Linked DNA regions of Nothobranchius furzeri. The protein of the gene in region 3 purifies or fractionates together with the protein of the main gene of each other region. This does not show direct contact. Links are inferred from orthologs where the notes say so. Each region holds a gene or a part of one and is shown on either strand. Other genes may lie near its edges. The genes, in order: glmna, apex2 and cullin-9.

Region 1 (4,260 bases), on a different chromosome or scaffold from region 3:
GAGCGTCACAGAACTTTTATCAGAGTCGGCAAAACCAATCAGAACCTTTCTGTAACGGGCCGAGCAGGAGATGGAGACGGTTGGCTATGTCGTCAGGATCATCGTGTTCCAGCTGCTCCAGCAGACCAATCAGAAGCTCTTTGGGCCGGCAGGTCTAAGAGGACACACGTCAGAGGTCATGACGCCCACGGGGGTGGCAGCAGAGCGACATCGGAGAAGCTACAACACCCCGCTCTGACCAACACGCTGCTTCTCAACACCGTGTTGAGCAGAGTTTGGTTCATCTGAAGACCGTCTCCATCAGCAGGGAAGAAGGCTCAGAGAAGCACAAACATGGATCATGACATCATCACGCTGAACCCACCCACCGCTGCTTACCCACGTAAGGGCTGTTGGTTTGGCCCCGCCCCCTTCTACACACCTCCAGATTGGTTGAATGAATGACCTTTTTAACTTTCTACACGTTGATCCTCGACCTTCACCACAGCTTTCCTCATCTTCGTCCTCCCCGCCATCTCTAATTTGCCATCCCATCCTTTTCCCGCAGCAACATCACAGCCGAGCAGATCCACAGACCTCCATCAGGTGGTTGAACATGGCCAGACACTGAGGAAGGTTCTTGTCTTCTTTCTTCAGCAGCACCTGAATCAGTGGAGGCAGCAGGTTCCAGCCCAAACTCCTGATCAGGTTCTGCACAGAGGGTGATGAAGCCGGGTCATCATCAGCACACCCAACCAAGGACTGGCACCATCTCACAGAAATCTACCTGATTCTTCTCATCCAGCACGATGCTGAGGACCTGTGGACTATGGCCCTCCTCGATGCAGGTCCGTCCAGCCGTGGTGAAGACGTCGTGCTCCTCCGAGCTGTAGCCGTCACCCGGGAGTGCCTGCTGTGTGTAACACACACAGATAAGAGGGAATAAGGGGCTGCTGGGGTTCGGAGAGGAAAGACAAGTGTCGGATTTATTTAACCAGATGAGTCGACGGAGAACTCATTCTCACTTACGCCGACGACCTGGCCCAGAGGCGGCGGCAGGTGAGAGAAAACGGTTAGAATGGTAAACGGTTTGTGTTTGTATGGCATCTTCTTGGGTTCTACAGCCCCCCAAGGCTCTTTACAACACAATCAGTCGTTCACACGCTGGTGGGGATGAGCTACGATGTAGCCACAGCTGCTCTGGGGCGCTCTGACAGAGACGAGGCCAGATGAACGCTGGCGTCGCTGGTCCCTCCGACCACCAGCAGCAGGTAGGGCGGGCTAAGTGTCTTGCCCAAGGCCACAACAGCAGCATTCTCTGGTCGGAGCCGGGATCGAACCTGCAACCTTCTGATTACTGGACAACCTGCTGGGCTGCTGCAGTCCCGGTTAGAAGGCTGTATCTGATCACATTCTGCCCACCATGTCAGACTTCACTGCTTTCTATGAACAACAAACATGTTAGCAACATGCTACATCTACTGCTAAGTAAAGTCATGCTGCCCGCCCGGTGACCTTTTGATTCGGAATGTTCTTCCTTAAAGAAGGGTTTGATCTGAGGGCCAAGGCGCCAACCCTAACCCGACGGAACAAAGCAAAACACACGTGGGCCAGAACATAGAACTCACAGGATCTGAAAACCTCAGCAAAGGTAACCTTCTGGTGCTCTGGTCCATGACCTCCAGCATGCACCTGAGCGCTTCGGCGCTGAGTGACGCAGAGAAAAAGGGAGGGCCGTCTTTGTCTGAGGTGGAGGAGCTCAAACCACCTGTGTCTTGTTCCTGAGTGATGGTAGCACGCTGGAGACTGGAGTAGAACCAGCAACGCTACAGATCTCCCTCATCTCGCCCGATTCGGGTGTCGTCGCTTGGTTGCTGTTGTTTGGTAACTTGTATCTCAGATTTTGGTTTGTGTCACTGAACGCTGCACTGGGGCTCCCTGGGCCATTTAGCACAGCGATACTAAAGCTGCACATAGCCATGACTGAGAGCATCCTATCACCCAGCATGACGGTGTGGTATGGCAGCTGCATCGTCCAGAACAAAAAAGACCTGGCCAGGGTGGTGAAAACTGCTCAGTGGATCGTGGGGGGCCCACTACCAGATCTGGACTCTGGAGTATATACCATCCGACTACAAAGGAAGGCTAACCGTATCGCTGCTGATCCCTTCCATCCAGGTCACAAACTGTTGATGCCGCCACCATCGAGGAAGCGGTACAGGAATATCAAGGCCACAACCACCAGGCTGAGGAACAGCTTCTTCCCTAGAGCTGTTAAAGCCACGTGGTGGTGGTGAGGGACAATCTGAACATCAGTGGACAGGTAGGTGGACACACCAGACTCCACTGCCCTGCGTAGCTCGCGCCACTAAGTCACGAGTCAGATGGGTGGAGGGACAGAAACAGCCTCTGGGGCTTTGAGACGCCGGTGTGCAGCAGGAGGGATGACAGGACAACATGAGACTCACACATCTCTGGACCACATCACTGAGCTGCTCCAGAGCCATCGCTGCTGTCCTCGGATCAGCCGGAAACAGAGAGGCACTTCCGTTTGAAACAAGCTAGGTCCGCGCGAGGCCACCGCGAGCCGGAGCTTCAGTCGGAGACGCGAACAGAGCGGGAAGCTTCTGGAATCACAGCAGATAAAAACATCACACAAACCTTTCCTTCATGACCCAAACAAACCACATTTACATCTCCGATGCAGCGCGCCTTCCGGTTTGACCCCCTCAGCTACCGTAGAAACGTCACAGGTCAAAGGTGAACACAGAAGAAACATGGAGCTGGTGGAGAGCAGGAGGAGGAGAGGAGGCTCCACTAAAACCTCCAGGAAAGGTTGGTTTTTAATCCCAATCCAGAGTTTACCGGAAACAGGACAACGTTTTCACCCTCGTTACGTCCGTTCCGTGTTGATTTTCCGGTCCGGTTCGACCCAGCAGTGGAGCTTGTTCCCGTTCCGCTTTCAGCGGGAAGGTGGAACAGACTCGTTCTCTGTAGAAAAGAACCGAAACAAACCTGTCGCGGATCAGAGCTGCTCCTTCTGTAGTTCATCACCAGGTCCTTCTATAGTTCATCACCAGGTCCTTCTGTAGTTCATCACCCGGTCCTTCTGTAGTTCATCACCCGGTCCTTCTGTAGTTCATCACCCGGTCCTTCTGTAGTTCATCACCAGGTCCTTCTGTAGTTCATCACCAGGTCCAGGTCCTTCTGTAGTTCATCACCACGTCCAGGTCCTTCTGTAGTTCATCACCAGGTCCAGGTCCTTCTGTAGTTCATCACCAGGTCCAGGTCCTTCAGTAGTTCATCACCAGGTCCTTCTGTAGTTCATCACCAGGTCCTTCTGTAGTTCATCACCTGGTCCTTCTGTAGTTCATCACCTGGTCCTTCTGTAGTTCATCACCAGGTCCTTCTGTAGTTCATCACCCGGTCCTTCTGTAGTTCATCACCAGGTCCTTCTGTAGTTCATCACCAGGTCCTTCTGTAGTTCATCACCAGGTCCAGGTCCTTCTGTAGTTCATCACCAGGTCCTTCTGTAGTTCATCACCAGGTCCTTCTGTAGTTCATCACCAGGTCCTTCTGTAGTTCATCACCAGGTCCTTCTGTAGTTCATCACCAGGTCCAGGTCCTTCTGTAGTTCATCACCAGGTCCTTCTGTAGTTCATCACCAGGTCCTTCTGTAGTTCATCACCCGGTCCTTCTGTAGTTCATCACCCGGTCCTTCTGTAGTTCATCACCAGGTCCTTCTGTAGTTCCTCACCCAGTTCTTCTGTAGTTCATCACCAGGTCCAGGTCCTTCTGTAGTTCATCACCAGGTCCAGGTCCTTCTGTAGTTCATCACCAGGTCCTTCTGTAGTTCATCACCAGGTCCTTCTGTAGTTCATCACCTGGTCCTTCTGTAGTTCATCACCTGGTCCTTCTGTAGTTCATCACCAGGTCCTTCTGTAGTTCATCACCCGGTCCTTCTGTAGTTCATCACCAGGTCCTTCTGTAGTTCATCACCAGGTCCTTCTGTAGTTCATCACCAGGTCCAGGTCCTTCTGTAGTTCATCACCAGGTCCTTCTGTAGTTCATCACCAGGTCCTTTTGTAGTTCATCACCTGGTCCTTCTGTAGTTCATCACCAGGTCCTTCTGTAGTTCATCACCCGGTCCTTCTGTAGTTCATCACCAGGTCCTTCTGTAGTTCATCACCAGGTCCAGGTCCTTCTGTAGTTCATCACCAGGTCCTTCTGTAGTTCATCACCCGGTCCTTCTGTAGTTCATCACCAGGTCCTTCTGTAGTT
Region 2 (4,217 bases), on a different chromosome or scaffold from region 3:
TTTCCTACTTTCGAGTTCACCTTTTAAAAGAAAAACAAGCTAATTCTAGGGGTTTATACTGGCGACGTGTTGTTTTACTTGTGCATCACTGCAGGAGTTTATGCTACCTTTCACTATGTTGTCTTTTTAGTTTCCTCAAGGTTAAAAGATGTTTGGTATTCATGAGTTTGTTGCACACTTGCAGCAACAAACTATTACAGATTTATTTTCACTGCATTAAAACATTTTTCTAAATGGAGCCAACATGTACATTTTTCAGCCATTGTTTCTCAGAGAGTGTCAGACTCTGGAAACAAACAGGCGTAAAAAGCACTCAGTTCTGTTTGCAGTCACCATTTTATAAAGCACATGCTAAATTGGGATGTAGTATTGCTTAGCCAATCACCTGACCTGAATGGCATTACATTAATCTCTGAGAACAAAGTAAGCAACCTTGGTGTTATCTTGGACCAGGACATGCCATTCAAATCCCAGGTTAATCAGGTTTGTAGGATTTCCTTTTTCCACCTTCAGAATATTGCTAATATTAGAAGCATACTTTCCAGGAGTGATGCTGAAAAACTAGTTCATGCATTTATTACATCAAGACTGGATTACTTAAGAGAATTAAAAAGAGAGATCATATCTCTCCTGTCTTAGCTTCCCTACATTGGCTACCTGTTAAATTCAGAATAGATTTTAAGATCCTTCTTCTCACATATAAAGCTCTTAATAATCAAGCTCCATCATACATCAGTGATCTGATTGTTCCATACGTTCCTAACCGAGCACCTCGCTCTCAGACTGCAGGTTTACTGGTGGTTCCCAGAATATCTAAAATTAGGATGGGAGGCAGATCTTTTAGCTATCAGGCTCCTCTCCTGTGGAACCAGCTCCCAGCTTTAGTCCGTGAGGCAGACACTTTGTCTACTTTTAAGAATAGGCTTAAAACATTTTTATTTGATAGGGCCTATGGTTAAAATCTGATGTTAGCCTAAATCAGGACAAGTGGGGGAGTAGAGGGAGGTGGAGTGTACAGTCGGTAAAGACGGCTCTCCCTTGTCCTGCCTCCAACATCCCTCCATCTAAAAGGCTAGGTTATCCAGAGTTATCTCTGTAGTTATGCTGCTATAGGCTTAGACTGCTGGAGGATTGCTGTAGAGTCACTGACACTAGTCAGTGACTTGATGCAATTTGCTGGGTTCCTTATATAGGAAACTTTTTACTGATTGCTTAATGAACTGACCTGAATTGGAATGTTTATTATGTGAAGTGCTTTGAGATGACTCTTGTCGTGATTTGGCGCTTTATAAATAAAATTGAATTGAATTGAATAGTACTGAACTGAATTTTAAGGGAGCAGCTGGTGTAACACACACTTACAACATCATCTGGGTCACAGTGGTCAATGGGCCGATGAGATGTGTTCACGTCGCCTAGAATGATCACATGGCTGGAGAAAAGGACAGAAAAAACGATGATGTCAGACATGTTAAAGGACAGCAAGCACCTAAAATATGAAGATACTAGAAAAGGTCAGACATTATAGCCACCTTTTACCGTTTATTCCTCCTAGTTAAACGTCTTACAATACAACCCAAACTGTTAAAAAGACCCCAAAGTTTGACTTTTAAAGATAAATAGCTAAATAAATCTGTCTCTATCAGATATCGGTGTTTAATAATCATAAAGCTGAGTGTACTGGAACACACATTGTCACAGAAATGCTAAAACCTTATGAAAACCCTCACCTCCCGTCTTTTAGCAAAGCTTCAGCCCGACACCGAAGCAGCTTGTAGAACTGGAGCTTGAACTGCTTCCTGTCTGGCTTCTCAGGGTCGGCTCGTGGACAGTACACGTTTATTACAGTAACCGTCTGTTCTTTGTCCTGACAGCTGCGGGGAAAAACAGAAACAAATAATAATAATAATAATGATACAAGGCTGCAACATCAGCAAAACATTACATACACTGAGAGCATATCTCTGCATGGTTTTGGAAGACGGTGATTAAAACGCAGTGGGGTTCAATCTGACCTGATTCACTTACAGGATTTTGTGCTGTGTTATGAGGGCTCGTCCTTCACTGTCCAAAAGTTGCAGCTCTTCATTTGAAAAGTCAGTGTGGTCTCCATAGCAACCAACAGCACCTTCATGATTGGTCAGCAGACCAGTGAGGCCCTCCTCAGCAGCCAAAGGAGTGCCAATGTCCTTACAGTAAGTAGCAACACCTGTGCAAAACAAAACCTGGCTCATGGTGGAGTAGTAATGATTATAGGGCAATAAAGAAACGAAGATAGGCTTTAATGTCCATCAATGCATCTGATTGGTGATGCATGTGGCAGGGTGGAGAGGCGAGGGCCCGGGTGAGAGTCATACTCTCTAACCAGTCAGCCAAAGGGACATCCCCTTGGTTAAGTAGCCAGGGCGCATGATCAATCGGGACACTGTGACAGGACGCTCACACTGCCACATACATATTCATTACCAATAACTCTGGGGCTTTTATTTTGGCGGGTAAAAGCTGTCTAACCTGAATAGCCGCTGCGTCCTCGACTAAAGCTGAAGAAGGAGTTGTATCCTTCAACAATGGCGGTTTTTTCATCCAGTAGGTCTCCTGAGAAACACATATACAGGTTCAGTGTGTTTTAATAAACAGCAGCAGGAGCACATCGGGACAGCTTTCCTGTTTTCCAACTCTTACTCGTTACTTTTGTCTCCTGAACACAGATGATATCGGCGTCCAGAGAATCAAGAGTCTTCTTTATGCCGCCTTTAAACGTCCTGATGCCGTTTATGTTCCACGTAACGATCTTCATTATGCAGGTTGAAACCCAAGTACACCTGAAAGCCGCACAAAAACGCCAAATGCAACGTTCAAGTACCCCGGACGTGACGCAACATACAACCGGAAAAGATTGTTTGTAGCAATCTCATAATTATTAAGTAACTAATTCAGAGCATTTCTAGCATAACGCTTTATAAATGTATGCTTGTACGATTATCTAAGGCTTTATTACAGAAATACAGATAATAAACAGTGTTTTAGTGTAGCTGCGTTGCCTCGCTGCTAAGCTAGAGGGGGTAGTTGGGCATTCACGTTTTCGGCGCGCGACACGCGACCCTGCGCGAGTTCAGTGAAGCAGGTGGGTGTGAGGAAGGGGAGCGGCTACCACTATACGCCAAACTGGCCTCGCACCAGTCCTAACTGCTTAGGAGCCCGCTGTCATTTGCAGCTCCTGGAGGCGGTGAGGAGTTTCCTCTTTGCGGCGGCCGGCCGAATAGCTTCATTTTAGGTCAGAAGGCTCGGGGTAAGTGCGTATGGGCTCGTGATGGCTGACTGTTGAGCTAATTAGCTTGTCTGATAGGATTCTAAAGATGGGCGCGTGAGTGGCGTTTGTTTGGTCGATAACGTACCAGCAGCAGTCGATTTGTTAGATATTTCTATTTGTTTTGAGATGATATGTTAGATTTTATTTACTACTTTCATCCACGTTAAGCTACGCTACTGATGCTAGCTGTCCGATAGTGTCCCGTTTCTGTGTCCGGTGTCGTCTTGGCTTTAGCATCCCTGTCAGACGACTTCTCATCTCTCCAGCAGCTCTTCTTCCCTCTCTGAGCTGGAGTCTGTTAGCTGATCTAATTATGTTAAACGTGGTGGTGGGATACTGTCTGGATGTCTTAGTTTAGCCACATGTCTCCTGGCACACACACAGGACAGATTCAGAACATGAGAGGACACCACACCAAAATGGGGGACAATTGACTACACCCTGTGCTTTTGGCCAAGCCAGCTGTCGTGTTGCTGACCTCCGGGTCTGCGCTGGTTCTGGAGACCCTGGTGTAGCCGATGGTTGACCACTGTCTCGATTTTTGACAGCTTTGAGAGCCGGGGACTCGTCCTTGATGATCTTTAAAAGGTACGAAGCGTCACCGTGGAACCAAAACGTTTGTTTTACCTGATAACAAAAGCAGAGTCAGCTCTGTAATATGACACACACACGACTGCCGGGTAGATAGCTGGGTTACACTGGTTTGTAAGATAGCTGTTGGCTGTTCTGAGCTTAGGCTGAAGCAATTTTATGTCACAGTTAATCCCAGTTTTGAGTCCAGTTTGACCAGTTTAATGCCACTATGATTAAACAGAATCTAAAAAAGGAAAGAAACACTTTTTTATATGTCGCCTCTCAAGATGGAAATCACGAGGCGCTTCACAAAAATAAACAGTTAAAATATATA
Region 3 (3,647 bases):
CAGGTCAGCAGATTTCAACGTGCGCATGGGTACATAGGGAGTGAGCAGGTCAGAGCGATAGGGAGATGCCAGGTCGTTGAGTGCTTTAAAGACATCACGATAAGAGTCAGAAATTTTGATAACGATACATTTTTGATTTATTGCCCAGCCCTACTTACACCCAACCAACCAAAACACAGACCCAAGCATGCTCTGTCACCAAGCCCCCCCCCCCTTTCAAACCTAAACAGATAGCCATGTAGGGTTGGTCATCGAGAATCGAGCATCGATTGGAACCGGTTCCAAATGTTCATTTTTCCCAGAATCGCTCAACGTTTTTTATTTCGATTCCTAGTGTGCCGACGAAAGAGGAATCCGCGGCCGATCTCCGTGAAAAATAAACGTGATCTGCAAATTGTGATCAACGCTTTTCAGAGCTGATCACACCAGCTGTCTGTGTGCAGCACCGAGTCCCCCCTCCCACACCCGGTGCACAGCAGCCAAATATAAATGTGTCTGCCGAACTTTTACTCCGTAATGTTAACTTTTACTCCTGCAGTGTAGAGGAAACTTGCTGAAATACGTCAACACGGTGGATTTAATAGAAGCTTAAAGAACAAACTCTGGACGGTGTGAGGTGAGTTTGTCTCACTGCAGAAATAAAAACACACACGGAGCGTCAGCAGTCAGACACGTGAGCGTCAGAAGGCTGAACAATAGCCTGCAGACTAATTAAAGTCATCATGCTAGAGCAGCTTCTCTGTGGTGGACCACACCAGCTTCTGCCACAATAAATAATTATAATAATAATAATAATAATAAATCACACACAAAGCTGTGAACATTTTAATTTCCTTTCTGAACTATTTCTGTTGAGAGTTTTAATGTTTAAAATCTGTTAGATTGTTACTGACAGCAGCTACATTTAAGTTTCACTTTCTGTTCTGACTGAATGCTGCTGCAGCATGGAGGTGTAGTTCTCAGGCATCCTGGACATGATCATCCTGAGAGTGTTAGCTGAAAACAGCTGGACGTTTCTGGATATGTTGGAGACATTTAGCCTCTCATCCCAGAGGCTTCTTCCAGACTTTGGTTGTGGTCAGAAACAAACACACTGGTTGTGCTGCAAGCCTTTTTCTTTTTTCTCCAAAACATGTTTTTGTCTAAATGAAGGTGATGTTGTTGTTCATAGAGTTAAAATTCATGTTGAAGTTAAGAATATTTCATCAAGTAGGACCTGTGGTTAGGTGGCTCATGTAAAACATATCATGTCTTCAAAGAATCGGAATCGGGAATCCATAAGAACTGGAATCGAAACGAGGAATTGGAATCGGAATCGTTTAAAATCAAACGATGCCCAACCCTACAGCTATGTGACCTTAACAAGATGTTGCAGCAAAGAGTTGGAAGAAATTATCCCACAAAGGTTACAGTAGTTCACCAGTGTGGCGATATTTTCACTCTTACAAGTCTGACAAAACCAAACAATGGTTTGCAACATTTACAGAGTATCAATAAAAACCAAGTCTGGTAATGCAACCAACTTGTTTTATCAAAAGGTAACGACAAAAAATGGCCAGGGCTGCACTTAAAACTTTACTACATTTTTCATAGCATTTTCAATAATTACTGACATCGACTGATACGATTTTTTTTATCAATATGATTTTTTCCGTATCGTCCAGCCCTACTCATACCCCAGCTACGTAAGCAGGAACTAGAAAAACTGGGAACAGAACCCTAAGACTCAACAAGAGTAGTTAAAGAAACAGCTGATGTTCCACGGCATAGGGTGGTCTAACCACACAACAGGGTGGTGTGGTTTTTCTACTCAGCTGTGACACAGGTTTTTTTTTAAACATGAGTTTAAGGATTTGAGTTTTCTAGGGGACCCTGAAGGCAACAGTGCTAATTAATTTTTTACCTGCATCATGTGAGGCGAGCGCCCGCAGCATCTTGCCGGCGCTGCGTCTCGTCTGCGTCTCCTTGTTGCACAGCAACTCCATCAGCAGGTTGAGGGCACCAGTCTCCTTGAAGACACCTACAAGTGAGCCGATACTGGCATAAGCGCTCAGCACGTGGATGGTGTGCATGATGTTGATGGAGAAGTCACTCTTCTTAGCCATCTGTTTCCTGGCTCGACACACCAGGTTCATCACATCCTGCTTCATGTCCAACAGCTCTACCTCATCAAAGGTCACGTCTGTTGGAAACTCGCCTCCGCTCCTCTGGCTCCCATCTGCCACCTCGCCTTCCTGCAACTTCTCCTGCTGGAGGGGGCGCTGTGAGTCTGTTTTCCTCTTGCCAAGAAGGGTGGGGCAATTAGCATACACATCCTCCATTGACATCCACATCAAGATGTTCTCCGGTTTGGTTTCTCCAGAGGTGGAGCCACTGGATCCACCCACCCCTGAGCCGGCACTGCCCGCTCCACTCGACTCGCTTGCTCCGCCCCCAGAGACGGACCCATCTTCAATGGTAACCAGGCACCAGCGAATGAGGTACTCCGTTTGTCCGTCGTGGGTGCGGCGCTGGCGGATCAGCTCCTCGGGATATGCCTGTAGCCTGGGGCTGAGCTGGACCAGCAGGTTCCCGTTGCGGCGTTCGCCCACCATGGTTGCTATGGAGACGAGAGCAGACATCAGACATCAGGGTATATGTATAACTGAGCTAAGTATAGTTGCCAGTATCATTGTTACATATCGGCCCACATTTTCTTACGAGTGTATCTCTAGTATGAATCAACCAAAAAAAAAAACAGAAAAGCATCTGATTCTAATTCATTCAGTTTTCATTTTGGACTCAACAGACCTGTGGAGGGAAGCTGCCTCCCTAGGCCAGGGGTATTTAACTTTGGTCCTGGAGGGCCAGCACGTTTTAGTGGTTTCTCTGCTCCAACACGCTTGACTGAGTGGTTGAATAACCTGCAGCAGCTCATCAGGCTTTGCAGAAGCCTGTTAATCACCTGCTGATTGAGATCTGGGGTCTCATTTATCAAACATTGCGTAGAATCTTTTCCAAAACCGTACTTAAGCTCAGCAAAAAAAATGTACTTACGCCAAGTAGGATTGTGATCTATCAAACATGGAGTACGCACAACTGCGTGCAATCTCCGCTTCATAAATCGGAGACTAACGAGAATGTTTCTCAGCTGCATTTTAGTCACGTCCCGCCCTCACCACGCCCACTTACTGCCATAAATAGTCAATGCAAAGTGCCTTGTGGATCTCATGCATATACATAAGCCGGTTGTTGCAGCACTCCGCCAATGACATGGTGACTGTAGATCAAGGCAAATCAAGGAAGCGCTATTTCACAGAAGCAGGAATTGAGGTACCTGTGGGTGAGGTGGAGAAATGAAAGGAAGTACTTTTGCAAATCAAATAAGAGAAAATCCACCAAGTGGCACAGTGTTGCTGAAGCCGTCAATGTTGTGAATTCTTCAGAGAGATCTGTGGCGGATATAAAAAAATGGTCCAATCGGGATTCGATCCCCAGACTCTCGGGCGAAAGTCATGCGCACTTACCAGTCACCCAAACAGAGATTTCCCCTGTACAACTAGCCAGGGCGCATGATCAATTGGGTCACAGTGACAGGACACTGTCACAGACGCATGACATTCTGTCTTAATCAGTCCCCCTGCTGATATTCTGCATTCTGTATTCTG

Evidence for each region.
Region 1: the proteins of cullin-9 (region 3) and glmna purify together in Homo sapiens (affinity purification with mass spectrometry; 3 studies listed by BioGRID and IntAct, counting the BioPlex papers as one, with this or other methods). This does not show direct contact. The link is inferred for Nothobranchius furzeri from reciprocal best matches to the Homo sapiens genes CUL9 and GLMN.
Region 2: the proteins of cullin-9 (region 3) and apex2 purify together in Homo sapiens (affinity purification with mass spectrometry; 3 studies listed by BioGRID and IntAct, counting the BioPlex papers as one, with this or other methods). This does not show direct contact. The link is inferred for Nothobranchius furzeri from reciprocal best matches to the Homo sapiens genes CUL9 and APEX2.

What each region holds. Positions count from the first base shown.
Region 1 is NC_091751.1:71,619,620-71,623,879, forward strand, and holds the start of glmna (glomulin, FKBP associated protein a), read right to left. Parts: upstream 2,848-4,260; 5' UTR 2,815-2,847; coding exon of another isoform or gene 2,757-2,814; 5' UTR 2,717-2,756; exon of another isoform or gene 2,682-2,716; intron 2,607-2,681; 5' UTR 2,487-2,606; coding exon 2,448-2,486; intron 893-2,447; coding exon 767-892; intron 691-766; coding exon 577-690; intron 155-576; coding exon 46-154; intron 1-45. Other genes in the region: putative RNA polymerase II subunit B1 CTD phosphatase rpap2, read left to right, coding at 2,757-2,814.
Region 2 is NC_091755.1:42,303,861-42,308,077, forward strand, and holds the start of apex2 (DNA-(apurinic or apyrimidinic site) endonuclease 2), read right to left. Parts: upstream 2,894-4,217; 5' UTR 2,798-2,893; coding exon 2,683-2,797; intron 2,596-2,682; coding exon 2,512-2,595; intron 2,210-2,511; coding exon 2,029-2,209; intron 1,875-2,028; coding exon 1,731-1,874; intron 1,433-1,730; coding exon 1,363-1,432; intron 1-1,362. UniProt on the Homo sapiens protein: Functions as a weak apurinic/apyrimidinic (AP) endodeoxyribonuclease in the DNA base excision repair (BER) pathway of DNA lesions induced by oxidative and alkylating agents.
Region 3 is NC_091752.1:62,763,612-62,767,258, reverse strand, and holds part of cullin-9, read right to left. Parts: intron 2,600-3,647; coding exon 1,904-2,599; intron 1-1,903. UniProt on the Homo sapiens protein: Core component of a Cul9-RING ubiquitin-protein ligase complex composed of CUL9 and RBX1. The CUL9-RBX1 complex mediates ubiquitination and subsequent degradation of BIRC5 and is required to maintain microtubule dynamics and genome integrity.